4 linked regions of the Macaca fascicularis genome follow. The protein of the gene in region 2 purifies or fractionates together with the protein of the main gene of each other region. This does not show direct contact. Links are inferred from orthologs where the notes say so. Each region holds a gene or a part of one and is shown on either strand. Other genes may lie near its edges. The genes, in order: AKAP9, PRKAR2A, AKAP8 and PRKACB.

Region 1 (6,887 bases), on a different chromosome or scaffold from region 2:
ATTAGACTATGTAAACATTCCATTCTATTGACTTAAAATCAAGATTTGCTAACTTTTAATAAAACACAACTTATTATGGTACAAATTTCAGCTGTTTCAGTGTAATGATATTTCAAAATACTTTGTGTAGGGTACCAAAGCTATTTCCCCTCTCTCGGATGCTCAGCTCCTGGTAGAGGATGTGAAGGTGGTTTACTGTGAATACACAGCACAGGGATGCTGTGTCCTCTGTACCTCTGTGTGCTCCCCAGATTTGGACCTCATCTTTATTGCCAGAAATGTTCAAGCCCTAGTTTGTTTCCACTTCTAGGTGTAGAGAGAAGGAATTTTAGCTGTTACCATTATTATACAACCTCTTGGTAAACTCAGAAACCTGTTTGAATATTGTTAAATTATGAAAACTTCATAATTATTCCATATGACTAACAGCAATCCTGTCTTGAACCAGTGCCTTAAATGCAGTTATGAAGAGTATGGGCTCTGGAGCCAGACTGCCAGTGTTTGGTCCTGATTCCATCACTTCCCTACTGGCCATTCTGGGGCAAATGACATGTGTTTTCCATGCCTCGGTTTTTCATCTAAAAGTGAGAATAGTAACAACTGTATTTCTATCACAGGATTGGGAGAATACATGAAAAGAGCACAGCCCGGTGCAGACTAAGTTCTCCATGAAAATCAGCTATTATTATCCTCTTTAAAAAACAGTGAAGTTACCTAGTTTTGGCAGTTATAAGGGCTTTGTCTTTGGAAAACATTGTTTCCAGAATTCATTATTTGGTAAGTATTACACATGCAGTAATTCAGAGCAGCAGTCCCTAACCTTTTTGGCACCAGGGACGCATTTCATGGAAGACAATTTTTCCATGGACCCAGAGGGGCCGGAATGGTTTCTGGATGAAACTGTTCCACCCCAGATCATCAGGCATTAGTTAGATTCTCATAAGGAACACACAACCTAGATTCCTCACATGTGCAGTTCACAATAAGGTCTGTGCTCCTGTGAGAATCTAATGCCACGGCTGATCTGCCAGGAGGTGGAGCTCGGGCAGTAGTCCCCGCCACTCACCTGCTGCTGTGCGGCCTGGTTCCTAACAGGCCACAGACAAGTATGGGTCCATAGCCTGGGGGTGGGGGACCTCTGATTTAGAGAGTCATAAACATAAGAAAATATGCTATTTTGACTTCACCTTGATTCAGTCCAAAGCCATCTCTGTTAATATTGATGGAACCAGAACCTGTGACTCGATGCCACCGTCGAACCAAAAATTTCATTCTAAAAAAGATTCCAAGATAAAATTTCACAGCACATCTATAATGTAAACAGTATGTATACTTCCTACAAAAATCACATCATACATTTAAATATGAACATAGAACATATGTCAAATTTCACGATTGCCCAATTAAACTATGTCAATGCCCATTGTGACAAAATCAACTGGAACAGAGGAATAGGGATTCAAGATCCCCTTATCCCCTTCCCAAGAGGCATTACAGGTCTCTTATACTGTCAGCATCAGGTTCTGGCTTGAGGGATAAATGGGGTACAAGGAGATGGAAGGCAAAAGTAGATGGGAAAAGTAGGCAAAGAAAGGGTGAGAAGTAATGAAAAGAGAATAGAGAATAAAGGGCAGATGAAATAAGAAGTGAACAAAAAGACCCTTAAATTGGCAATAAGAATGTGCTGGGAATGCTGCAAGGTGGGTGAGGCTCTTGTCCCTTTGATTAGGGACAAAAAATGTTGGTTTCAAAAGGAATGGGAGTGTTAGCTTCATGAACCAGGTGCAGCAAGTTACCACCTGCCCCATTATGGCCCAAGGAGCTTTTGGAGCACCAGTTTTGATTTATTTTGAATCAGTTCCAAGGCTCCGTCTTAGGAGGGTCAAAATATGATAAACATAATCTTGGATAAGAAAAAGCAGGGCAGAGTGAAGTTTGTCAATAACAACTTCTACATTGCTTTCATGAAGCCTCTCTAGATCCCTCTAATCAAAATTACTAGCTAACTCCTGTGACCTCCCATTTATTTATTATATTCTAAGTTCTGTGCATATTAGTCTTCCCCACTAGAAAGTGAGCTGCCTTTAGGTATTTAGGCAGGAATTATTATTTTTTCATCAATGCATCTACCAGCACTTACCCTGGTTTAACTCTATACAAGGGGATGAAGGAAATGAAAGGTGAGAAAGAGTAAATGAAACCAGGAGACTACAATATGGAATATCAGAAGCAAGGAGGGTCTGAGGCCCACACTAAGATAAAACCTGTGTTCCTGTTTCCAGAGCCAGCATGAATGAGACTGGGGAGACTGAGCTGGTTGTCCCAGCTCTATCACTACTGGCTTTGTAACCTCTCCCTGCCTCAGTTTCTTCAAGTGTGGAATGAGATTCTAGACCAGGTGATCTCAGACAGCTTCCAATTAAAAAATTGTGCCATATTTTTAGAGAAAAATAAATAAGAAAAAAAGGGTAAAACTCCTTAAAGAAGCATCAGATGTGACCTGACAGAAAGAACTTTAAAAAGCAAAATTCCTTTAAGATCTGTCTGCCTCCTAAAAGGGAGGGGGATGCATGGAGAAGCCTTGGTGTTTGTATGCATATAACCAGGTCAGAAGAATGTAGTGGGCCAGGTCCTCAAAGTAGTTTGAGTCTTGGCTGCATGTCAATCACAGACAGAATGAATACCAGAGTTCTTTGCTTGGGATTACTAGAGAAAGAACAACAAAAGCACTAGCAAAAATCCAATGCCCTAAAGGCTAACCTCTGACTTGAATGCAGTTAGGAAAGGACCTTCCATAGCTGGGCACCAAAACTGGGTTATCTTAGCAATGAAGAAAATGAATGTATGCCAGCCTAAGAAGTAATTTGTCAAGCACATTTTTAAATGTTATAATCTTTTTTTTACATGTGTGAGCTTGTTCATGGGCTTATTCAGATTTTTTTTTTTTTTTGAGATGGAGTCTCCTTCTGTCGCCCAGGTTGGAGTACAGTGGTACGATCTTGGCTCACTGCAAGCTCCGCCTCCTGGGTTCACGCCATTGTCCTGCCTCAGCCTCCCAAGTAGCTGGGACTATAGGCGCCCGCCACCATGCCTGGCTAATTTTTTTTGTATTTTTAGTAGAGATGAGGTTTCAGCATAGCCACAATGGTCTCGATCTCCTGACCTTGTGATCCGCCTGCCTTGGCCTCCCAAAGTGCTGGAATTACAGATGTGAGCCACCACACCCGGCCTTTTTCTTTTTCTTTTTTTTGACAGAGTCTCACTCTGAGTAGCTGGGTCTATAGGCACCTGCCACTACGCCCAGCTAATTTTTTGTTTTTTTAGTAGAGACAGGGTTTTACCACGTTGGCCAGGCTGGTCTTGATCTTCTGACCTTGTGATTTGCCCGCCTTGGCTTCCCAAAGTGCTGGGATTACAGGCATGAGGCACTGTGCCTGGTCCAGATTGTTTTCTAAAAGGCAACCCTGACTGGATAGGCCAGCTCTGAGTCACCAGCTTCCTGGACCTAGGAAGGCCCTTTTCATAGTCTACACATACCCTGCCACTATTCCTGCTCAATGAAAACCTAGAAAAACAAAGCAGACATGCTTCAGTGATGGCACATACCGCCTACTATACAAATATAGAGTATAACCAGAAAAGAATAGAGGGAGAATTAAAAAGAACTAATCCTTTTAGAGAGTCTATTAGTAAAATGCATTTTCCTTCAAGTTCTTCACCTGGAAATTGCAATGGATACTCTGACGGCCGACCGAAACCTGGTGAAGCCCTTTGGGCGATTGGTGATCACCTCTAGATCCGTGAAAGCTGGCTGCCCCCCCATCCGGGCAAGCAGGGCCAAAGTGGCATCTTCACATTCCTGGAACCCACCCAGTAACAGCAGCAGATATTTCTTCTGGTAAATGAGAGCCTTTCGAAAACTTTCTGCCCTCAAGTATTTGCCATAAATTCTCTATATTTAAGGAAGAGAAGAACATAAAGACATTAAGAAAACATTCAACCTGCTCTCCAGGGGAAAATAACCTAGATTTTAACAAGTAGCAGTAGTAGTAGTATTGTAGTAACAGTAGTAGTAATAAAATGGCAGGTATCCTATCACTGTTTTCTACTTTATCAGCAAAGGTGAAATTTAAGATAAATTAACTAAGCTTTACACTTTTGCCTCTTTTAGTCAATGGAGTCTGAATAGTAATAGTTAGACTTCTTCTTTTAGGATTTAGCCCTCATTAATAATATTAATTGCAAATATTTTTGTCATCCCAATTTCATCTTTTTTTTTTTTCTTTTTTTAATTGTACAGAGCTATTTTCATTAGGGTCACTAATGTATTTATTTATGAGATGGAGTCTCACTCTCTCACCCAGGCTAGAGTGCAGTGGCGTGATCTCGGCTCACTGCAACCTCTGTCTCCCGGGTTCAAGCAATTCTCCTACCTCAGCCTCCTAAGTAGGTGGGATTACAGGCACCCACCACCATGCCTGGCTAGTTTTTGTATTTCTAGTACAGATGGGATTTCACCATGTTGGCCAGGCTGATCTCAAACTCCTGACCTCAGTAATCCACCCACCTCGGCCTCCCAAAGTGCTGGGATTACAGGTGTGAGCCACCGTGCCTGGCCTAATCTAACTTTTTAAATGTTAATGTTTTCTATCCCTTCAGAGTCATAAACTGGAATAAATGTTCCAAAAGTTTTTCTTTATGTTTTGAATTTTATGTTGACTGATTAAGGTAGTTTTAACAACATTCATTATTAGTCACTAGGGAGGCTTTCAGAGGGCTTACCATTTTACAGAGTATGATGCTCTTACATATAACATTCTTTTGGTCTATTAGGGACGAAACCAGGGAAAGTGGAACCACGAGCCCAGGATGCTGTCACTGTGACCATTAATAGAGGTTAATCTGGTCCCAGTCCTGGGCATGCCTTTCCACAAACCTCTGTGACCTGCATTCATGACAAAGACTGAATAAAGAGACCTAGAGACAAAACCTGAATACCATCTATTTTTTTTTTTTTTTTGAGATGGAGTCTCACTCTGTCACCCAGGCTGGAGTGCAGTGGCGCAATCTCGGCTCACTGCAAGCTCTGCCTCCCAGGTTCATGTCATTCTCCTGCCTCAGCCTCCTGAGTAGCTGGGACTACAGGCGCCCACCACCACACCCGGCTAATTTTTTTTGTTTTTGTATTTTTGGTAGAGACGGGTTTCACCATGTTAGCCAGGATAGTTTTAATCTCCTGACCTCGTGATCCGCGCATCTTGGCCTCCCAAAGTGCTGGGATTACAGGCGTGAGCCACCGTGCCTGGGCCTAAATTTCTTTAGTCTATTTATTTAAGGTCAGTGAGAGATGAAAGAAGGCAAAAACATAGAACAAACTGTGATGTTTAGATGGGAGATGTCTCCTACCTTTAAAGTGACATGTTCAGAATCAGGGCTTAGAGTTTGAAGTAAAGAGTCATTTCTTAGTTCAGCTTTCAGTTTGTATACTTCAGCCTCTGCCCTTTTCAAAGATTTCTGGAGAGTCAATTTTTCTCTGTTCCATACCTCTTTTTCAGAGGCAATGATGGCTTCAATGTTGGCACCACCATTCAATGAAAACCTGGAAGACTGCAAAGACCACAGACTACTTACATGATTTTTAAGAACAAGTCTCTGAAGAAAAGTCTGAGCTAAACATATTAAAGATAGCTCAATGATGGTGCAGTCTCAACTTTCTGACCCCACCTAGACAAAGTTCAAAGCCAATCTTAATTGACATTATGCATATACACTAACTCTAAGTACATGGTCCTTTGCTAAATACATTAGTTTTACAACTAAAAGTCCTTGAGAAAGCCTGGCCACAGGGAAGGTTTAGCAGATTAGCAGAGCTTTGAACTAAAAACATCAAGAGACCTAACAGACCATTTGGGTCCAAATTTTGAGCCTGTGCCTGAAATAGTGTATTGGAGAAGTGGGAAAAAAACAAGCCAGTATGTACATAATAAGTGGATTTCTATAAAAGGCACATAAATGTGTTATCATGTATTTAACCATACAGTTGTCTTACAGGTCTTTTCTATCTTTATATTGGGTGATTATGGAAACTAGCAATTAATTTTATACCTGTTTTTAAATGGAAAAATTTTAAGTAAATTCTCAGCGTAATTTATCAGACTGAAAGACATAATTTAACAGCACCTTCTATTTGAGTCATGAACACAATGACTGATAAGTGACCGAAGAGAACAGTCAGGATTCACATTTGAACATTTTGTGTATCTGTTGTTGGTGCCTAGGTAGCAAAGTATCTGGCTTTGGAGATACATGTATCTTGGTTTGACTACGACTTCAGTTCAGTTTTCTCAGGTATAAGGTGGATGCGGATTAGACATTCTTTATGTATACAACTCAGAGTCGAGTACAGAGATGGTTTCCAATAAATAACAGTAATTATTAGTAACTTAGTAGTAATAGTAATATTATTATTGTCATCCCTATAAAATTTTCTACAGATCCTACTAAGAATCAGGTACGTGATAGTTTTACATTAACAGGATTAAAACTTGAACTAGATAGCAGAAATGACAAGCACGCACGAATTCTCATATATGGAGATGCTAAAAATGGACATACATTATCTCTACCAGCTCCTGTCTGTCGATACCACCTGATCTGCTCTTCCAGCTTCATAACCATGTTCCTTAAGTCATTCTTCTCTTCAGTCAGTTGACTGATATGCCCTGTCAGCTCAGCATTTTGTCTCAGTAGTCTTTCAGTCAAGGAGCCACAAGAAGTACTTGGGGACACCAAGCTGGGCTGGAAAAATAAAATGGTGTAAGGTCACTTAAGCACAAATGGATGTGAATAATGCATATAAAGGGTGAATAGGCACCGAGAGCAACAAA
Region 2 (6,887 bases):
TACAAAAGTAGCTGGGCATGGTGGCGATGCCTGTAATCCCAGCTACTCCAGAGGCCGAGGCAGGAGAATCTTTTGAACCTGGGAGGCGGAGGTTGCCGTGAGCCAAGATTGCACCATTGCACTCCAACCTGGGCAACAAGAACGAAACTCCATCTCAAAAAAAAAAAAAAAAAGTCGCTTTAAGAGATATTTGTTGTTTTCTCTTTAGTTAGAACTTTGTTGTTGTTGTTGTTGTTGTTTTTGAGATGGACTCTTGCTCTGTCGCCCAGGCTGGAGTCTACAGTGGCATGATCTCGGCTCACTGCAACCTCCGCCTCCCGGGTTCAAGCGATTCTCCTGCCTCAGCCTCCCGCATAGCTGGGATTATAGGCATGTGCCAACAATACTGGCTAATTTTTTTTTTTTTTTTTTTTTTTTTTTTTTTGAGACGGAGTCTTTGCTCTGTCACCCAGGCTGGGGTGCAGTGGCGCGAACTCGGCTCACTACAAGCTCCGCCTCCTGGGTTTACGCCATTCTCCAACCTCAGCCTCCCGAGTAGCTGGGACTACAGGCGCCCGCCACCTCGCCTGGCTAGTTTTTTTTGTACTTTTAGTAGAGACGGGGTTTCACCGTGTTAGCCAGGATGGTCTCGATCTCCTGACCTTGTGATCCGCCCGTCTCGGCCTCCCAAAGTGTTGGGATTACAGGCGTGAGCCACCGCGCCCGGCCCAATACTGGCTAATTTTTTATATTTTTGGTAGAGATGGGAATTCACTGTGTTGGCCAGGGTGGTTTCGAACTCCTGACTTCAAGTGATCCACCCACCTCAGCCTCCCAAAGTGCTGGGATTACAGGCGTGAGCCACCGTGCCTGGCCGAAATATTGTTTGCTATTGCAGTTATACTAATCTTTGTAACACATATAAGTAGATTTATAAAATATTGGGAGTTAACTTTGCTGCCCTCTGTGTGTTTATTTTTTAATTTTTATTTATTTATTTATTTTGAGACAGAGTCTCTGTCACCCAGGCTGGAATACAGTGGTGTGATCTCAGCTCACTGTATCCTCTGCCTCCAGGGTTCAAGTAATTCTCGTGCCTCAGCCTCCCGAGTAGCTGGGACTATAGGTGTGCACCACCATGCCCGGCTAATATTTGTATTTTTAATAGACACAAGGTTTCACCATGTTGGCCAGGCTGGTCTCGAACTCCTGACCTCAAGTGATCCACCCACTTTGGCCTCCCAAAATGCTGGGATTATAGGTGTGAGCCACTGCGCCAGGCCTTTTGTTTTATCTGTGTGTGTGTGTGTGGGTGTGTGTGTGTGTCTATCTATCTATCTGTCTATCTTTTGTCTATCTTTTGAGACAGTCTCACTCTGTTGGTCAGGCTGGAGTGCAGTGGTGCCCTCACACCTCACTACAACTTCGCCTCCCAGGGCTCAAGTGATCCTCCCACCTCTGCCTCCCAGTAACTGGGACCACAAGTGCACGCCACCATGCCTGCCTAATTTTTGTATTTTTTGTGCAGACAGGTTTCGCCATGTTGCCCAGGCTGTTCTCAAACTTCTGGGCTCAAACAATCCAGCCACCTCGGCCTCCCAAAGTGCTGGGAATACAGTCGTGAGCCACTGTTCCCAGCCTGTATGTTTTTGTTTGTTTGTTTGTTTGTTTTAATAAATAAATAAAATATTGGGGTTTTCTGTTTTTGTGGGGTTTTGTTTGTTTGTTTGTTTTTTTAGTCCGAGTCTCGCTCTGTCTCCCAGACTAGAGTGCAGTGCTGTGATCTTGGCTCACTACAAGCTCCGCCTCGCAGGTTCAAGCGATTCTCCTGCCTCAGCCTCCCTAGTAGCTGGGACTACAGGTGCCTGCCGCCATGCCCAGCTAATTTTTCGTATTTTAAGCAGAAGCAGGGTTTCATCATGTTAGCCAGGATGGTCTCAATCTCCTGACCTCGTGATCCACCCGCCTCAGCCTCCCAAAGAGCTGGAATTACAGGTATGAGCCACCGTGCCCGGCCTGTTTTTGTGTTTTAACTAGGTCTCCCTGTGTTGCCCAGGCTGGTCTTGAATTCCTAGCCTCAAGCGATCCTCCTGCCTTGGCCTCCCAAAGTGCAGAAATTACAGGCATGAGCCACCACACACAGCCTAAAATATTGTTTTGTTTTTATTTTTTTTTCGAGACAGAGTCTCGCCCTGTTACCCAGGCTGGAGTGCAGTGGCATGATCTTGGCTCACTGCAGCCTCTGCCTCCCGGGTTCAAATGATTCTCCTGTCTCAGTGTCCCGAGTAGCTGAGATTACAGGCGCCCATCACCACGCCTGGCTAATTTTTGTATTTTTAGTAGACATGGGGTTTCACCATATTGGCCAGGCTGGTCTTGAACTCCTGACCTCAAGTGATCCATCCGCTTTGGCCTCCCAAAGTTCTGAGATTACAGGCATGAGCCGCTGTGCCCAGCCCATTGTTATACTTTCTAGCAAAAAAAAAAAAAATATATATATATATATATATGTGTGTGTGTGTGTGTGTGTGTGTATATATATTTATTCCTGACAGCCTGAGGTAGAAGAAAGGTAGTTAACTTAGATACAAATAACTGCTTGCCCATTTAGGAATCTAAGACTAAGCAATTAACATTCTCATGGGTATCTCCCTGCACATGTGTACAAATATCTGAGAAGTGCCTGGCTTTGGTTAATTGTCTCCTGATCAGAATCCATTACTTACTAAGCCAGGCACAGTGTTGTGCACCTGTAGTCCCAGCTACTTGGGAGGCTGAGGTAGGGAGATCACTTGAGCCCAGGAGTTCAAAGCCAGCCTGGACAACAATGGGGGACCCCATCTGAAAAATAAAACAAAAGGAATCCATGACTTGTTAAGAGTCAAGGTATCTTTCATATGCCTGCCTTCCATCTTGCATATTCCTCCCATGTCTCTTCATTAACTTTAATCCTACCTCTCTTTCAGGTCCCAGACATTTTTGCGGCGAAATAATCTTTGTTCACTCCTGCCTACCGTGATCTCCCCTTCTTACCTTGAAATTTATGTAGCACTTGTCTTCTGTAGTTTCACCAAGCACATTTCATGTGCTCATATGCCTGTCTTGAACTATAGACTTTTTTTTTTTTTTTTTTTTTGAGACAGGGTTTCAACTTGTGTCACCCAGGCTGGAGTGCAGTGGTGCAATCTCGGCTCACCGCAACCTTAGCCCCCTGGGCTCAAGTGATTCTCCAAGCCTCAGCCTCCCAACTAGCTGGGACTATAGGCACACACCACCGTGCCCAGCTGATTTTTGTATTTTTTGTAGAAATGGGGTTTCACCATGTTGCCCAGCCTGGTCTTGAACTCCTGAGCTCAAGTGATCCATTTATGGCCTCCCAGAATGCTGGGATTACAGGTGTGAGCCACTGCACCCATTCTTGAAATGTAGACTTTTTATTCCTATGTATTTTGTTGTTGTTGTTGTTAATATTGTTGTTTTTGGGACATAGTCTTGCTCTGCTGCCCAGGCTGGAGTGCAGTGGTACAATAATAACTCACTGTAGCTTTGACCTCTCAGGCTCTGGTGAGCCTTTCACCTCAACCACCCAAGCACAGACATGTGCCACCATGCCCAGCTAACTTTTTTCGTGTATTTTTTCGAAGAGCGGGTGTTTCACCATGTTGCCTAGGCTTGTCTCGAACTCCTAGGCTCAAGCCATTTGCCCACCTTAGCCTCCCAAAATGCTAGGAGTACAGGCAGTGAGCTACTGCATTCAGCCAAGCTTCATATTTTGATATTTTGTGTTATCTTCCCATTAAGATTATAAACTTTTTTAGGGCAAGAACAATCTAATTGTTTTGGATTTAAAAAATTTTTTTAAATTCTGGATTCTAAGGATTAAATGATTGTTTTATTCTCTCTTTTGGTGAGATGTCTTTTTTTTTTTTTTTTTGAAATGAGGGTCTCACTCTGTGACCCAGACTGGAATGCAGTGACATAATCTCAGCTCACTAGAGGTATCTTTTATGACATTGAACAGTGACAGTGAGCTCACAAATGTTTAGGCGTTTTCTGTTTTGTGTTCTATTTATGACCCATAGGTGGCACCTATTGAGTGTTAGATAGCAAACAACAGCATGTGGGCAACTGGCTGGCTCAGGCTACAGGTTCTTTTCTTCCATTGATGACTCAAGATTAAAGTATCAATTAACACTTAATTAACACAGTAACTTACATATTCCTCTAATATTTGCTTTGGCCAGTTTATTAAACCATAGATGTTCCTGTATATAGGCATTTATTAGAATTTTCATATTCTTTCTTGTAGGACCGGGTGACTTTTAGAAGAATCATAGTGAAAAATAATGCAAAAAAGAGGAAGATGTTTGAATCATTTATTGAGTCTGTGCCCCTCCTTAAATCGCTAGAGGTAAAGTGGCTTGAATGAGAATCTGTTCATGGGGATCAGGAAAAGCTTTTAAAACTATTCTGTTGTTAGGTGTTCAAATCATACTATTCTAATCCCATTTCTGTGTTGTATAGCTATTGTGACTTTCAGTTAAGATCTTTTCCTTTTATTTCTGAATTTGTCTGTTGTTTCAGGTGTCAGAACGAATGAAGATAGTGGATGTAATAGGAGAGAAGATCTATAAGGATGGAGAACGCATAATCACTCAGGTGAGTGAGGGCTTTACACAGCTCCTTTCCTGGAAGTCACCCCTGAATAACTAGTACATCATTTATCTCAAAAATCTTGCCAGACATAGTGGCTGACGCCTGTAATCCCAACACTTCGGGAGGCTGAGGGAGGTGGATCGCTTGAGACCAGGAGTTCGAGACCAGCCTGGCCAACATGGTGAAACTCCGTCTCTACTAAAAATACTAAAATTAGCTGGGTGTGGTGGCCCACGCCTGTAATCCCAGCCACTCGGGAGGCTGAGGCAGGAGAATTGCTTGAACCCAGGAGGCGGAGGTTGCAGTGAGTCGAGATTGCACCACTGCCTCCAGCCTGGGCAACAGAGTGAGACTCCATTTCAAATTAAAAAAAAAAAAAAAAACTTCTATGTTCTCCCACTGTTGGGAGCTCTTATTACCAGGTAATAGATCACACTTCAGAGGACAATTATATAGTCCCCTGAAGCTTATTGATGTCCGTCTTACTGACACATGCAGATCACTTGCTTCCGCTCACCTTTCCTTGGCTTCTAGTGTTTGTTCTTTGGATGTCATTTTCTTTTGACCTTGAGTAAGTTTCATCCATTGCTATTAGAACCTGGGGAAGGTTAAAGAGTTCTGCCCTCTAACTTTCTATATTTGACACAAAGGCATCCTTTTGGCTAATCTAACACAAATCAGAGTCCACAGTCTTCAGTGATTAACCAAATTTGTAAGATGTCTGGTATTTCCTTTGTGCATTTTTCTCATGTTATTTTGGGATACAGTAAGGATTACTAAACAGTGGGCTAGATCATTGTAATGAGTACTGTCTAATAATTTTCTTTATCCACTGTGTTTGTATTTTTAATAAAACATAAATAGTATTGGACTTTTCCAGGTATCAGCTTCTCTGCCTATGGTTCTGGCTCAAGAGCACTGAGAAGATACATGGTTGGCCTAGGTTGGGTGATATGCTTATCCTTGAACCCAGTACTGAGACCACGAGGAGGAAAGGCTCAGATTGGTCAGGCGTGGGTCCTGTGGGTGGAGTTGGCCCCACTAGAACCACAAGGACTAATCAGACTTACCATAAAAGGGGAAAAGAAAGCTCCCCTGGAAGAGATAAAGGACTAACAAAAATATGATGTCTACTCTGAGTCACATCTCTGAATGTATTTGTTTTCTAGGAGCCCTTACTATTAATAATTCTTTTAATTAGAAATTGATATATTCTATAAACATTTATTAAGATAGGTAGGACCAGATATGATAAGCACTATAATGAAGGAGTGTATGAATGACAGTGAGAACATAGAAATGGAAGTAATACATACGGTTTCATCAAGGAATTGCCATTTGAGATGGGCTTAAAAAACAAGTGCAATTACAATGTTTGAAATCAGGGGAAGGTCCTTCAGAGCAAAAAAACAATATTAGCAAAGGCCAGTGGTGTGAGCTGTGTTTCAGAGCAGGTATCCTGGTATGGTAAGAATGTAGGACTGAGTTTCAGAAATGGGAGATGTTAACTGGCCACATTTGCTTCTGAATTTAAGGTGCTTTAAGTAACATTCAAAGGACCTCCAATTCATCCTGAAGGTTCTAGGCCTGTCTCATGCTGGGTTTTCACGAAGTATGTCAGGAGATGTGAAAAGTCATAGTGTTTTCTTGATTGTCTGTGCTCTTGAAGATAGAGTACTATCTATCTTCAAGGTAGACAGGTAGTGGTACAGAATGGACATTAATTAAGATGATATTAAAAGGGACTTATTATAGGCCCCTTTTGTCAATGTCTCTCACTGGACCAAGGCTTCTCAAAGTGAGATCCCAGGACCAGCAGCAATCAGCATCATCTGAGAATGTTAGAATTGTTAGGAATGCAAGTTCTTGGGCCCCCCACTAGACCTGCTGAATCAGAAACTACATTTTATGTTGTTTCATTTTTTTTGATCAGCTTTGTTACAGTGTGTTTTACATACAATAAAATTACTAAGTTTAAGTGTACAAATTGGAAGAGTTTTGTAACCATCCCCAGTGTGGTATTTCCATCACCCATACAGTTCCTTGTTTTGTATTTGCATTTGCAGTCACTACCCTCCCCCACACTCACATTCCTGGAAACCATTGATGTTTTCTATCACTGTAGAAATTCCGTTCTACAATTTAATATAAATGAAATCATGCAATGTATAGTTTTTGTATCTGGTTTCTTTCTCTTAGCATAATATTTTTGAGATTTATCCATGTTGTATGTATCAGTAGATCATTCCTTT
Region 3 (7,360 bases), on a different chromosome or scaffold from region 2:
TATAGATAAGGGATTATAGAACTCTATTCCAATTTGGTAGGGAAATAATGGTTTGTTTTGTACATTTCTGGAAAAGAAAATTTTGGACCCTCTACCTCATAACACATATAGATTGAGTTCATCCTTCATCTGAAAATCTGAAACACTCTGAAATCCAAAACTTTTTTTTTTTTTTTTTTTTTTAAGAGATTGAGTCTTGCCATGTTGTGCAGGATGGAGTGCAGTGGCTGGTCACAAGTGAAATCATTGCACACTATAGCCTTGAACTCCTGAACTCAAGCAATCCTCCTGCATCAGCCTCATGAGAGTAGCTGAGACTACAGGCACAAGCCACTGTGCCCAGTAAAATCTGACTTTTTCAGCACAGACATGACAAAGTAAATGCTCATTGAAGCATTTCAGATTTTGGGTTTTTTGGAGTAGGGATGCTCACCTGGTAAGTATAATGCAAATATTCCAAAATCTGAAAGACTTCTGGTCATAAGCACTTTGGATAAGGGATACTCAATCTGTATCAAATTCTAGAAAATTTGGCTAGGCGTGGTGGCTCATGCCTGTAATCCTAACACTTTGGGAAGCTGAGATGGGTGGAGGTCCTGAGCTCAGGAGCTCAAGACCAGCCTGGGCAACATAGGAAAACACTGTATCTACTAAAAAAACAAAAAATCAGCTGGTGGTGCGTGAGTGCCTACTCAGGAGGCTGAGGCATGTGAATTGCCTAAACCCAGGAGGCGGAGGTTGCAGTGAGCTGAGAGCCCCTGCACTCCAGCTTGGGTGACAGAGCGAGACTGTCTAAAAAAAAAAAAAAAAGAAAATTTAAATGTGAAAAATAAAACCAAGATGAGAAAATAGTTAGAAAACTACAGACTCTGGGCGGGTGGTCCAGTGTGCTTACCAGAGCACTCAGTTGCCGGTGGACAGGGAAATGCCGTGGGAAGCAGCAGCACAGATTCTTCTGTCTTTCATCCACAGCAAAAATACCCCACAGTGACAACATCCAGTGCTGATGGGCAGGCAGGAGGACCAGGTCACTGTTTTTAACACAGGTGGAAGCAGCATGACTTGGAAATGTTTTGCAGTTAATTGGGCACTATCACTTTGAAACCAAACCTGGTTAGAATTAAAAGCACCAGCATGGAAGTGTACAGGTTTATTCTGGTGTTGCTGGGTTATTGTGGAGAAAATGTGGAAGCAATATAAATGTGCCTCAGTTGGGAGAATTTATGGTGTGGTCATCTGGGCATCCAGAGCTAGGAGGATAAAGTGTTGGCAAGTGAGAAAGAGTCACTGAGGAACGGTCTATAGTAGCATCCTAATTGTGTATCTTTAGTTTGTTATGAGCATGTATGATGTCTGTTAATATTTTCCTCCAGTAGTAGAGAAAACGTGCTAAGGAAAAAAAAAATGAAGATGGAGAGAGTAGAAGCAGCAAGTGAGAAGGCTTTCTGAAACATGTAAATGGAGTGGGCGGGACTCAGTGGGCTCTCCCACCCCGCCAAAAATATCCTCCTTTTAGCTTACGGTTTTTATAATGATCAAAGTGAGATTTGCCTGTACTCCCACCATGAGGAAATGGCCCCGCATACTGACGGAAATCCTTCCAGACAAAATGGCTCTGGCATGCTTTGCAGACAGTACTATATTATACACCTTTCTTTTGCCATTGGAGAGATGAGCCCGATTTGAAGGGCTGCATGACGTTCTTTTGAATGTACAATTTATTTAACCTTTTCTGCACTGAGGAACGTTTAGGTGTTTTCCCATTTTTCACCACTACAATCAGTGTGCACGTATGTTTCCAATTCTTAAATTTAGGATAGGTTCTGGGAAGGGATTAATGAAACAGATTTTTACTTTTCATACATTCTGTCAAACTGCTTTCCAAAAAATATGGAAACAGTTGATCCTCCCAGCAGCATAGAAGTGTCTCTTCAACCTTGCATGACTGGGAATAATTCTTCATTCTTGGAATTCTGTGGGTTAAAAAGACATGTTTGATTAAATATCTGTTCCTGCTTTTATACCCTCCCCGTTGGTCCCAAAGTGCTCCTTGCCTATTAGCCTAGTTGGCACCTTGTTATGGGTTGCACCTTTGGCTCTTAGTTTCTTAATTTGTTCACTGCTTATAGCTTTTTTGTAAGCAAATCAGATTTCTGTAATACAGCCGTAAAGATATATAGAGATCTATAGATCTGTATTTTTAATTACCTACAGTAAGTGTGGTGTGGAAGGAGAAGGAATTTGAACAAAGATCAGATAGGTTGTGGTTCCATGCTTGTAGAGTGGCCCTCCGTTGGTGGGGCTGCGCTCCGGGTGGAAGCGGGTGGAAGCGTGGGTGGAGGGGCAGGGGGGCGTCCCTCTAAACTGGCAGGGTCGGGGCGGGAACTTGTAGGGCACTCAGAGCAGCCTCTCCAGCCCCTTCTGCCCTGCCCGCAGCTCATGATGGAGCAGTCCAAGAAGTCCTCGCTCATGGTGGCCCGCAGTATTCTCAACAACAAGCTCATCAGCAAGAAGCTGGAGCGCTACCTGAAGGTGAGGCGCTGGTCCTGGCCTGGGCTTGTCCCCACCTCAGTCCCTGCCTGTGCTCCCTCACTTCAGTGTCCGCGCCCCTCCCCACAGGGCGAGAACCCTTTCACCGACAGCCCCGAGGAGGAGGCTGAGGGCGGTGCCCTGGACGAGGGGGCACAGGGCGAAGCGGCAGGGGTCTCGGAGGGTGCAGAGGGCGCGCCGGCGCAGCCTCCCGTGCCCCCAGAGCCAGCCCCCGGCGCCGTGTCGCCGCCACCGCCGCCGCCCCCAGAGGAGGAGGAGGAGGGCGCCGTGCCCTTGCTGGGAGGGGCGCTGCAACGCCAGATCCGCGGCATCCCGGGCCTCGACGTTGAGGACGACGAGGAGGGCGGCGGGGGCGTCCCGTGACCCGAGCTCGGGGCGGGCGGGGCCCGCGTGGCCGAAGCTGGAAGCCAAACCTAATAAAGTTTTCCCATCCCACCTCCCGGTTTCTCTGTTATGGTGCCGCGCGGGCCGGGCGGGGCGCGGGCCGAGAGGCGGGGCGCGCATTCGCGCGGGCCGGGCCCTCGGGCACCGCTGCGGGACCACAACTCCCGACAGGCTGCGGAGGTGGAGCTTCGCAGCCCGAAAGGCTAGCTGGGACGGTGAGGGCGGACCCTCGTGAATGCCAGCCAATGGGAGCGCGCGGAAGTAGTGACGTGTGCGCCTAGTCTTCCAGTAGTCGACGGCGGAGGTGCGTTGAACGCATGCGTGCTGTGGTCTCCTAGTAAAAGGGGCTGCTGGTGGGCCGCGTTGAAGACATGGACCAGGGCTACGGAGGTTTGTGTAGGCTGCTGGGTGCAGAGTAGGGAGCGAAGGCTGAGTGCGAGCCACGCAGCCGCTGCGCAGACGGCCGCGGGCCGGGCCTTCGTCCGGAGTGTGGTTGCCGCAGCCGGGCCCTGCAGAGAGGCGGCCAGAGCGCGCGCGCGCGCCGCTCATTGGGCTTTGGCGCCGTCGCTCCCGGGGCGCTGCGTGCGGATTGGCCGCCAGGGCCCGAAGAGGCGGGCGGGACTCGGGGTTGGGGCAGACGCCGCGGTGGGCTTCATGGGGGGCGCCTTGGGCTGTGCGGGCCGTTTCTGTCCCTCACCTTCGGCGGGGCCCTTCCGGCCCCCGGCGACCCCGGGGTTTGCACTCCCGGCTTCCTCTTCCGAAGACGCCACAAAATGGCGGCGCTAGGGGGCGGAGCTACAGCGTGGGGTCCTGAGGTCGGGCTCCGGGCGCTGGGTCTGGGGCCACGGGTGGACCGCTGGGGCCGCCTCTCCTGACCTGCCCTAGGCCTTCGGGGCCGGTTGGGGCCTCTGCTGGGCTCCCAAGGCCCAGGGCGCCTGTCCCGGAAGCCGTCGGGCTGCGCGGGGTCGGGCCTTTAATCCCCGGTGCTGCGTATTGAGGCCGAGTGCGGCCGGCGCGGGAGTCAGCCTCGCTGGGCTCCAGCTCTGTAGCCGGCGCGTGCTGGCGTGGGACAGGATGGTGAGGGGCAGATGCTGAGTGTTTGTATAAAGCTGGAAACCTGATTGTGCCCTGGGGCTGGTGACAGATTGGCCATTCTCATGTAGGCAGTGCGTTGCGGTGGCTTGGAGGGGCCAAGGGGTTGTGCAAGAGGGAACGTGTCCTTTCCCCGCTTGGCTTTAGCGCTTGGCCTGCAGTAGGGCCGATTTTCTCGAGCTTCCTGCTCCCCGGCTCTGGAATCAGAGCCTTCTGGGAGCCAAGTTTGCCCACAGGGGATAGTTGGGACACGCTGGGTGGAGCTCGACTGGGTGTAGAGAAGCTAGTGGTCTGATCCTGGCTGCAGGAGCTCAAGAAGTTGTCGATCTTGAGAAGTGGCAGGGCAAAATTATCCTATCACCAGAAATTGCAGAGACAGGAGAGCGGTCGGTCCTGAGGCGGCAGCGTGCGCGGTGTGCTTTGGTGTCTTCCGGGTCCTAGCGAAGGCTCTCCTGGTCTGCCACAGCCTGGGTAGATTTCACCATTCTGTCCTTTCCTTCCCATCAGATCTTTTCTGCCGGTATTGTCTTTTTCAGTCTTAGTTTGGAGAGGTTTTTTAAATCCCCTTTTCCTACCTCCCGAAAACCTTTCAGACACAGTGGAGATAGTTCAGCTTCCCCGATTTCTTGTGTTTCGGGGAGCGTTTTAAGGTTAATAATGCGTGCTGCTTACACTAGAGCTTCACAGGGAAGCGGCCTCTCGAGGTTGGTTACTTGCTGTTAGAATCTGCAGTCTGCCTTTCTGTTGCACGGATGCAAATTTAGAAGGCTTTGCGGTATGACGGAGGGGAAGGCATAGCATAGCAGAGGGCAAAACTCAGCGGTTATGACTGGGTCAAGTCTCGTAACCCATGAGCCTAGCTCCCTTGTCTCTGAATGGCCTTCGGGACAACAGGGTTTGCTGGGTGCTTGCAGTGTATCGGCACACACTAGGCACTTAGCGGCGGGGCTTGTTCTGGTGAGGGAGACATGGGTATGTTCCTGCCTCATCAAAGTGAAGTCATTTAACAGGCATGGTGGCCACCCGCGCGCAGCTGAGTGCTGGGCCCCAGGGACACAGAAATGAAGAGAACACAGTTCCCATCCTCCTTCCTGGAGGGACCAGACAGATCCCATAGTGGGTGGGGGGTGTTGGGAGGGTCGAAGAGTGCAGTCTGATGCCTTAGGGCCAGGCCAAGGCCCTGGGACTTAAAGGTCCAGGGGATCCGTGGAGGGCTTAAAAGTGATAGGAAGTGCGGCTTAGAGAGATGCAGTTTATGTCACCAAATTCCCATGCTTGTTCTCAGTTACAGGGTACTTGTGATAGTAGTCGGAACTGGTTTCCTGGCTGTGTGGTGGGTGGGGGAATGTGTCCTCATGCTGAATGGATTGTCTTGTGTTAGCCTCAGTTGTGGATGGACTCTTGGAGGGGTGAGGTACTTGGCCAAGGTCCCTCTGCAGGCGGAGCTGACCTCCAAGCCCACTTCCCACCCTTCTTTTTCTGCTTTGATCTCAGCCAAGTGGAATGCGATGATGCCGTTAGCCAGCTGTGGGGTGGCTTTTTTGTGTGTTGGGGGGGGTATTCCTTCTTGTAAGGCTGACACTGAACTGTAAGGAGATCCATTTAGGAGTACCCCTAAAAGGACCCGTTCTCTGGTGTGACAAATAGAATCTTAACTCACGGGGGTCTTCTTGCAGGCTATGGGGCATGGAGTGCTGGACCTGCCAACACCCAGGGTAAGTGGGCTCTGCTTTGCGGGTGAGGCGTGGGCTTCCCCTACATTCAAGGCCCTAACATGGCAGAGCTGAACCTGATGGTCACCAGGGTCAAGGGAGGTGGTAGCGGGGGTCAACAAACTTTGTGTAAAGGATCAGATGGTGAATATCTTTGTGGCTTTATGAGCTCCACAGTCTCTGTAGCAGGAAAGCAGTCATAAATGTGTGAAAGAGTGGATGGGACAATGCCAATAGTTACTTATAGACAATATAATTCGAAGATCATAATTTTTGTGTGTTATTAAATCCTCTATTTTGGCAAAATATTTTTATTCTGAGTAAATAGCTGAGGGTATATCCAAGGTGTTTTTTCTCTATAATTAACAGATTTTTAGCACAGCTTTAGATTTAGTAGTAGAGTTTCATAGGCCCACATATCTCTACTCAGGTGTAGTGTCTCTCATTAGTACGATTTTTTTTTTCTTTTGAGACGGAGTCTTGCTCTGTTGCCCAGGCTAGAGTGCAGGAGTGTGATCTCGGCTCACTGCAGCCTCAGTCTCCTGAGTAGCTGGTATTACAGGCACCCACCACCGCGCCCAGCTAATTTTTGTATTTTTAGTAGAGATAGGGTTTCACGATGTTGACCAAGCTGGTCTCGAACTCCTGACCTCGTGATCAGCCCTCCTTGGCCTCCCAAAGTGCTGGGATTACAGGTGTGAGCCACCACACCCAGCCTCATTAGTAAGATCTTTCATTAGCTGGGTGAGGCAGCTCATGTCTGTAATCCCAGCAGTTTGGGAGGCTGAGGCAAGAGGCTCACTTGAGCCTGGGAGTTCGAGACCCAAGCTCAAGTGATCCTTTTATCCTAGTAATAAAAAATTAGTAGGGCGTGGCAGTGCGTGCCTGTAATCCCAGCCACTCAGAAGGCTGAGGTAGAAAGATTGCTTGAGCCCAGGAGGTCAAGGCTGCAGTGAGCTGTGAGCCACTGCACTCCAGCCTGGGTGACAGAGCAAGACCCTGTCTCCAAAAAAAAAAAAAAAAATCTTGCATTAGTGTGATGCATTTGTTACAATTAATTAGCCAGTGTTTCAGTGTTTATGTGATATTATTCACTATAGCTCATAGTTTTTCTTAATTTGCATAGTCTCTGAGTTTTGACCCAATGTGTCAGTGATATATTTCATGTCAAAATTTGTCATTGAATATACCTTAGAAGCTTTACCCCAACCATTTAAAAACGTAAAATTCACCCTTCGCTGAGGGCAGAGCCTGAGAACACAGGGCTACAGGCAGTGTGCTGGTACTTACTTATGAGCACTGAAATTCGAAAATCACAAGGGCTGTGCCAAGGTGGGCAGTGGGCTCCGTGTGGCCTGACTTTTTGCAGATCCCCACTCTAGAGTCAGGGTCACGATGCTAGGCTTGTTTGGGGGGCCGTTGTGTGCTCTCTGCTGGCAAGGTTTTCTGCTTTCTGCCAGCCCGTGTTCCAGGGCACGAGGGCTTCCTTTGTGTTCTGAGTCTGAGATCTGTCTCTAGCAATATGGGGAGTGGGGCTGCTTTTCGAGCCACCACCCCCCGGTGTTTCAGGGGGAGGCCTTCGAAGTCGCTCGAGGCACATAACGTCCTCTTGCTCGCTTGAG
Region 4 (7,642 bases), on a different chromosome or scaffold from region 2:
TCATTGAACAAAAGGATTAGAATTATGCCCAACAAGAAAACTTTGTACTGTATTAGAATGATTTAAAACACTTATCGTACTTGTAATTTATTGGCCATAAAATTACTTCCTCATTTTGGAAATATTACTTTGCCCTTTGCCTGGTATTTCATGTGGTATCTTTTGATTTGGTATATACTATACAATAATAAAATATTAGACAACGTGGATGATTATCATTCAAAAAATTGTAATTCTATAGTGGTTAAATTCTCACTTGCATTTATTTCATGTAAAATATTATATGAAAACAAAATTAGCTTACCCCTGCTCTGGTTTAAGGAAGATTATACTTTAAAAGTATGTTTGCTAAATAGTTTTTAATTAGTTAACATCCACAATCATTTATTTGTAATTACAAACAAGTTGTTTTTCATTATTGGTCACTCTTAAGAAAAACAAGTACTTCCGACATACATTGTGTTTGAGGGTGCTTTACTTTAAAAGAACTTGGAAATCAAGTTGGCAATATAAGTAGAAACTACAAAATAAATTTGAAAAAATATTTACTAATTTTCTCCCCTTTTCTCACTCATGAGTTAAGAGGTGGTCTAGAAAGAAGAGTGCCAAGATTCTTTGTTCATAAACCTTAGTTTTCTCATCTGCAAAATACGGATTTAAAAACCTAATCTTAATGAGGATTAGATTATGTGTTTCAGAGTGACAGCATATAATCTAGAGCTCTGCCTCTTACCACTTGAGTGACCTTGGCCAACTTACTTCACTTCTTTGAGCTCTTGTTCCACTCATTTGTAAAATGGGGCTAAGATAGTTATCTGGCTTATGTAGGTTTGCAAATACCACTGGTATAATTTTCCCTTTTACACAATGCTGTATGTTCTCAGATTAGCAAAAATATTATATGGAAGGGAACTCAAAAGTATTTTCTCTGAATGAGTCCCTTCTTACTGCATCTGCTTTCCTAGGGAAACAAAATTACATAGTTCCATCTCTTTTTGTCTAGGGTACAGCAGTCATTGGTGGCAAAGGATAGAAATTGCCTCATGGAACCTCCAATTATTCACGAATAACTGGACAGTTGAAATTTCTGCCCCTTCCAGAATGTTAGAAAACCAGTTCATAAAACATACTCTTTTAGATGCTACATAAATTACAAATTTCTATAGAAAACTCTTCTAATAATGAAAAACAACTTGTTTGTAATTACAAATAAATGATTATGGATGTTAACTAATTAAAAACTATTTACCAAACTATACTTTTAAAATATAATCTTCCTTAAACCAGAGCAGCAGTAAGCTAATATAAGAAGCAGAAAAAAGTGGTATAAAGAAAAAAGAAAAATAGCAAGAAATTTTAAATTGCTGATCACTTTTTCTCTATCATTAAGAACTTATTTCCTTAACCAATAATAAAGTTAAATTGAGAAAGAAGGGGAGACAATTTGTAAAGCTGAATTTTTTGCTTTACTTATTAATTTTTCAGGTATAGTTATATTGTATCCATTTTTGTAATAGCTCTCAAATGTCTCCTTTGTAAATTAATGATTTACTATGTAAATGGTAGCCCTCTTATTAGAGACCTAGAATTCAAAATTATGTTAAAGTGCCAAATTATGCACACGACCACTCTTTTATCATTAAAGCGGATTTATTTAAAAAGGTTACATTTAAAACTCACCCCAATGACAGTAGTATGAATATTCTATGATACTAGAAAGATTCCCTCTAGAATACAGAATATCAAAAGTTGTCTTTAATTGGTATACATGTGGTTCAGTGCTATTTATTGAACTTTCTATGTATGTGGGGCAAAATAACAGCCACAACACAAAACTAAATGGGATTGGAGATGACATTGTTGTGACACTGTTGTATGCCGACACAAAACCTCACATCATCTAGTCCAAATCCTTGCTTCACTATTTTTATTTTATTTGAATTGAAACCCAGAAAACAATATAATACATTTCCTTGAGACGTATACTCACTATGCATCTATCACTTCAAGTCAATGGGATTTCAAATGGAGAGAAAGCAATTTACCACAACATCCACAAGTTTTTGGTCAACATTAAGAGACAAAGGATCAGATTTTTGGAGCCCAATTGCCTGGGTTCAAATCCTGCTTCCACCAGATAATAGCTGTGTAATCTCGGTAAGTCACTTCTTTGTGCCTTAATTTGCTCGTAACTAAAATGATGACAGTAAAACCACATCTCTCATAGGGTTCTTATGAGGAGCAAATGAGTTACTATTCGTATAGAAGTTGTAATGCAGTATACATTAACAGAATTGGTGATAATAGGAAGTTTACTAATAATCTTATCGCTCCATTTTTTGTCAGTAATGAAAATTTTTTTAAAAGCCTGAGAAATTTCAAGTCAACAGGTATTCGTAAAACACCTACTATGCCTGGTGCCTTGGGAACATAGAATAATTTGGGAAGTTACAGTCTATTTTGACTTTGTAATAAGTGGAAAACACAGAGCAAAGTTCAATGGAACCACAAAAATGCTAGAGTGCCATATAATTTACCTAAGTAAAGCTAACAGCAAAATCAAGTATTCTAAGATTTATATTAATAAAAACGCAACTAACAATTGGGAATGTATTTATTTTCAGATCTACACGGAAGTTGCTAAATACAATGCTGTACATCAACAGAAGTTGTGCAGAAATAGTAAAATTTTCCTTTATCTCCACCTGGGAAGTCTGAAAACATAGGGCTTGTGACTGGAGCCTACTATCCCCGAGGACAACGCGGTGGGCTCAGCGAATACCTCAATGTGCGAGGGAATGAAAGGCTCGAACTACGACCGTGACTAGGGACCAGGCTTTTCCTACTGCCGATGCCGGGCAGATGCAGACCCAGAGACCACCCTTGCGCGCGATCTCCAACCCGAAGGTGCGGCTCTTTTTCGGACCTGGCGCTGTGAGGAAAAGGCAGTCTTTGAGTGAGGAGCCGCCGCGTGGCGGGACACAAGGAAAACCACCCGAGCCGCTGAACGGTATCCCGCGACTCCACTCCAGGGCACTGGGAACGCCAGGCTGAGGAGGGACTCTGCCGTCCGCAAAGCTAGCGGTTCCCACTCCACCTCCCACTATCTCAGCGATGGGCATCCGAGCACTAGACCGGGATACCGCGGCGGAGGAGGCGGTCAGCGGAACCTCAGGCCCCAACCCTGGGCTCGGCCAGCTAAGGGTCCACCGCCCGCCCCCGGGGTCCCGGGCGACGTCACTTCCGGCGCGCGCACCCGCGCGCGAAGACACAGTCGGGCCAGGGCCTAGCCCGGGCGCGCGGCTGCCCGGGGGCGCGCGGGGAGGGCGGGCCGCGCGAAGGGGGAGTGTCTGCCCGCCGCCGCTACTGCTGCCGCCGCCGCCGCCGCCGCCGCAGCAGCCGCAGCTACCGGTGCTGAGGAGTTCGCTGGAACCCTTTCCTCAGACCCGGCCCGGTCTCCCTGCCCGGACTCCGGGCGCCAGCGCTAGGCGCACTCACCGCTTTGACGGGTGCAGAAGCGGGAGTTGCCCCAGACTGTGGAGTGGCGGGCACGGCCCCAGCCCCCCTTCCCCTCCCTGACCCCTTCTTGCCATCGCCCCAGACATGGGCAACGCGGCGACCGCCAAGAAAGGCAGCGAGGTGGAGAGCGGTGAGTTGAAGGCCGGGTCTGGGTATCCGCTGGGCGGGCCGGCGCGGGGCACCGAGGCCCCTCCGGGTCGCAGCTCCTGAGGCCGCGGGCACGGGCCAGGCCTAGTAGCGGCCGCCGGGAGTCGTTCTGGGGGGCCGGGGGACCAGCTGCCTTCCTCCTCCATTCCGACCCCCCAGCTCCGTGTTGAGGGCTGAGTGCGAAGGGCCGGATGTGGGGATCCTGGGAAGAGCGTTCCCTGGGATTCCCTTTTTCACTCTAGCGAGGAGGACTTGCACACATTCTGGAACACTTCCCCAAATATGGTCCGAGGAAAGAAGTCCCCAGTGCCATCCCACCCCTGCTTTCCCCTCTCGCCGACTCTTTGGGAGCTACAGGTAGTGGTGCTGTGGGTAAGGTTGGCTCTTCTCCCTCCATCACTTGGGTCCAACCCAACCTTATCACAAGGCGGGGGCTGCTAGTCTGGCTCTACGCAAGTGAGGCTAATCCTGAGTGAACAACTCTGCCTTAGAGATCCTTCATCTCTTCAGATTAGGAATGGAAAACATAATGAGACCAAACAGCAACTTTATCCATTAGAGAAAAAAGCCAGGCAGGTTTGCCTTTTCTCTAGACATTCTAGGATCTGCTGCAATGCCTGTAAAACTTAAAGGTCATTCGGAGTGGAAGTGCTTCCAGAACACGGTTAATTTCTTCTGAGAGCTGAAGGTGCGGGTACTCCACACTTTACATCAAAAAGTAAAATATCATGAAAATGGAATTTCTGTATGGCTGTGAGGTGTGTGTGTGTGTCTGTGTGTTTGTGTATGCATGTATACACATGCATATATATGTGTGTATATATGTGTCAGTCAGAATGGTCGTGAAATAAAACTTGGGTTTGCCTTTGTAAAGTTTATATATTTTTATAATTCAGAATGGCCGAATAACAGATGATATTTGTTACATCACCAGTAGTGAATGACATGTTAGCACTTAAAGTGGGCCTGATAATTTTAGTTTGTGTAAATATTACTTGTAATGTTTTCATGGTTGTAACATAAGAATTAGGCTAATTTTATAATTTAGCATGAAGGAAATAGCTTTTTTTTCTGTATTAGTAAAGTAGAATTCATTTAGAAGGATTTAGTCATTCATTTGGTTTAACATAAATAGATCAGATTATATGGTTTATGTTTCATCAGTAAGGTTTTGGTATCAATTTTTGGGAGCTCCAGAAAAGTTTGATGAGCTATTATATAAACTATTTAAGAACACACAGTATGTCATACAGAGATCTAAAGAAACCATTGTAGAGGTAGAATGTATGTTATTTTATTTATTTATTTTTGAGATGGAGTTTCGTTCTTGTTGCCCAGGCTGGAGTGCAATAGTGCAATCTTGGCTCACTGCAACCTCCGCTTCCTGGGTTCAAGCGATTCTCCTGCCTCAGCCTCCCGAGTAGCTGGGATTACAGGCGTCCACCACCACACCCGGCTAATTTTTGTATTTTTAGTAGAGACGGAGTTTCACCATGTTGGCCAGGCTGGTCTCGAACTCCTGACCTCAGGTAATCCACCCACCTCGGCCTCCCAAAGTGCTGGGATTACAGGCGTGAGCCAACGTGCCCGGCCTTTGTTATCTTTTTAAAATTGCGGAAATATAGTAACTAACTGTACAGGAAGTATAAAAAATGCAAAAAGCGTAAAGAATTATTTGTACCTTATATGTTGTCATTTTTCGTGTTAATTTAAAACTGTATAAACTTAAAACGTGCTAATTGTGTTACAAAAGAGTGTTTGGAGAATGATCCTATTAGTAGTTTTCATTAGCAAGTGCTGACCTGTATAATGTTTATATTTTGGATAATGATAGTAGACTCTCCTGTGACCTGTATATTTTTTATTAAGTTATCAAAACAATTCTCCCTTAGACAGTATTAATTTGCAACTCATAGCTGTGAAATAACCTCAGAATATTTACTGAAAACAGAATGGAAACTTCAAATGTTTATCTGAACATATTTAAATTATTTCCATGAATAAATTCTTTCCTATGTTTTAAGTGTTAATGACAGTCTAGTACTTATTAGTCAGCTTTTTGTGTAACTTTGTTTATGGAAACAAGGTCATTATAATAGTTTAAAAAGCTGTTGTGAAGTGACCAAAAAAAAAAAATAGCGTGTTATGTGTCATAGGGAAAATTATTTGAAATGTCATGTGTTGATTAATGTTTGTAATTTCATTTGGAGCAATGTTATCAGGTATATGTTGCTGTTCTGTAGTAAACAAAGAAATTGTATTTTAAACTTAATGAAAGAACTCTTATCATTACATACCTAACTGTTCTGTGTATTTTTTTAAAGAATTATTCTTGAAAATTTGTTTTTCAAAACTTTTAGAAATATATGATGTTACAGATCAGCCTGTACAATCATTCCTTTTCAAAGATCCTGATCTCTGAAGAAGCTGGAGTTGAGATCATACTGTTAGTAATAACCGAGTAAGGAATAGAGTCTGATGCCTGCACTCCATTCAGCATCACTGAATAATCAGTTAATACATTTATTTTCAAAATATTCACCAAATGTTTTAGTTTCAATTAGAGACTATAAGTAAAAGCTAAAACATGTTACTGTCTAATGGGTAACTCATATATATAAGAGTTACCTGAAAGGCAAAAATACAAGTGCTAACATTATGGAAAGTGGAATTAGAACTCTGAAAATTGCTGTATGAAAATGTTTGATTTGAAAAGTTGATTAAAAATATCAAGTCAGTTAAGATTTCAGGTTCAGTTAGCACCAAGCTTCAGAAAGGCAGGTGATTCCAGAGCTTAGTTCTAAAAATATTCCAGAAGAATGAAGTTGAAGTTAGGCATAAAGATAATTTAGAAGGGTCTTGGTTAACTTTGACTATCTGGTGCCTGTATTATACTCTACTGAAACTGGTCCCTCTATTAGAATTAACATTTTCTGGGGTAAGACCTAAAGGCTAAGTGAGATTCCATCTTCATCTCCACAGGTTTTGGAGATAACATTAACTTAGGTACCTGTTGTTCTGCTGTAGTGAATTAGGAAATTGTATTGATGTATCTCAAAACTTAATGAAAGAATAACTGGCGCTATTATATACATAATAGTATATGATAGTGTGTGTTTTTAAAATTACTCTTGAAGATATATCCCTTTTAAAATTTGGATGTAGTTATTTAAACATCAGCTAATACAGAGAAACATAAATTTTAGAAATATGATAAAATTCTCAGAGAAGGTTTAAACTCTTGTCAGTTAAGTTTGTTTTACTTATCCAGTCTTTTACCTTTTACACCAGCCCCAGTCACCAACACACCAAAAAAGCACACTACTTCTTTTAACCTGGGAGGGGTTTTTATTTATTTCATTTAAAAAAAATACTATACCTCCAGGTTGCCTATTGGGCTTTGTGTTATACATTCATTGCAAAAATGTTGAGGCCCATGAGTGAAAAGTGTTGGTAGAGATTTGAATGTAGATTCTTTCATGACTGCAAGTCATTAAGTTACCATATGACCTAGTGTTCACATATGATCTTTGAATGTTTTCCAGAGTATTTCTCTGTCCTATGGATTTGAAAGTCAATAGGAATTAATCATAGAAAGCCACCAGTAGACTAGGTTCAACAAAAATTTTTTGAGGACTAATATGTGCCGGGTTATCTAATGCTTTCCATGTATAAACTTTTACTTAATCTTTTTAACTATAAAGTACTTGAGTTATTCCTTCATTTATGGATGAAGAAACAAAGGCTCCGAGAGCCTAAGTGACTTGCTTAAGGTTGCATAGCTAGTAAGTCAAGAAGCAACATTTAAATTGAGGCAACTGTAAGCCCAGAACCTGAAATTCTAACCACTTTGCTGAACAGCCTCTCTATCCAGTAGAATAGCCAATGCTAAGACACACAGAATAGCTTAGACAATTATAGCATGTTTCACTTTTCAAACATGACTTTTATTTGGTATATTAAAATCTTAAGTGAA

The links.
Region 1: the proteins of PRKAR2A (region 2) and AKAP9 purify together in Homo sapiens (affinity purification with western blotting; 3 studies listed by BioGRID, with this or other methods). This does not show direct contact. The link is inferred for Macaca fascicularis from reciprocal best matches to the Homo sapiens genes PRKAR2A and AKAP9.
Region 3: the proteins of PRKAR2A (region 2) and AKAP8 purify together in Homo sapiens (affinity purification with western blotting; 3 studies listed by BioGRID and IntAct, with this or other methods). This does not show direct contact. The link is inferred for Macaca fascicularis from reciprocal best matches to the Homo sapiens genes PRKAR2A and AKAP8.
Region 4: the proteins of PRKAR2A (region 2) and PRKACB purify together in Homo sapiens (affinity purification with mass spectrometry; 6 studies listed by BioGRID and IntAct, counting the BioPlex papers as one, with this or other methods). This does not show direct contact. The link is inferred for Macaca fascicularis from reciprocal best matches to the Homo sapiens genes PRKAR2A and PRKACB.

Annotation. Positions count from the first base shown.
Region 1 is NC_088377.1:129,247,344-129,254,230, forward strand, and holds part of AKAP9 (A-kinase anchor protein 9), read right to left. Parts: intron 6,799-6,887; coding exon 6,616-6,798; intron 5,608-6,615; coding exon 5,407-5,607; intron 3,953-5,406; coding exon 3,720-3,952; intron 1,274-3,719; coding exon 1,188-1,273; intron 1-1,187. UniProt on the Homo sapiens protein: Scaffolding protein that assembles several protein kinases and phosphatases on the centrosome and Golgi apparatus. Required to maintain the integrity of the Golgi apparatus. Required for microtubule nucleation at the cis-side of the Golgi apparatus.
Region 2 is NC_088376.1:111,735,702-111,742,588, reverse strand, and holds part of PRKAR2A (cAMP-dependent protein kinase type II-alpha regulatory subunit), read left to right. Parts: intron 1-4,288; coding exon 4,289-4,390; intron 4,391-4,563; coding exon 4,564-4,638; intron 4,639-6,887. UniProt on the Homo sapiens protein: Regulatory subunit of the cAMP-dependent protein kinases involved in cAMP signaling in cells. Type II regulatory chains mediate membrane association by binding to anchoring proteins, including the MAP2 kinase.
Region 3 is NC_088393.1:15,793,141-15,800,500, reverse strand, and holds the start of AKAP8 (A-kinase anchor protein 8), read left to right. Parts: upstream 1-3,251; 5' UTR 3,252-3,305; coding exon 3,306-3,324; intron 3,325-3,566; exon of another isoform or gene 3,567-3,749; intron 3,750-3,759; exon of another isoform or gene 3,760-4,011; intron 4,012-5,702; coding exon 5,703-5,741; intron 5,742-7,360. Other genes in the region: AKAP8L (A-kinase anchor protein 8-like), read left to right, coding at 2,437-2,532, 2,620-2,913. UniProt on the Homo sapiens protein: Anchoring protein that mediates the subcellular compartmentation of cAMP-dependent protein kinase (PKA type II).
Region 4 is NC_088375.1:150,557,755-150,565,396, reverse strand, and holds the start of PRKACB (cAMP-dependent protein kinase catalytic subunit beta), read left to right. Parts: upstream 1-3,315; 5' UTR 3,316-3,603; coding exon of another isoform or gene 3,604-3,649; intron 3,650-7,642. UniProt on the Homo sapiens protein: Mediates cAMP-dependent signaling triggered by receptor binding to GPCRs.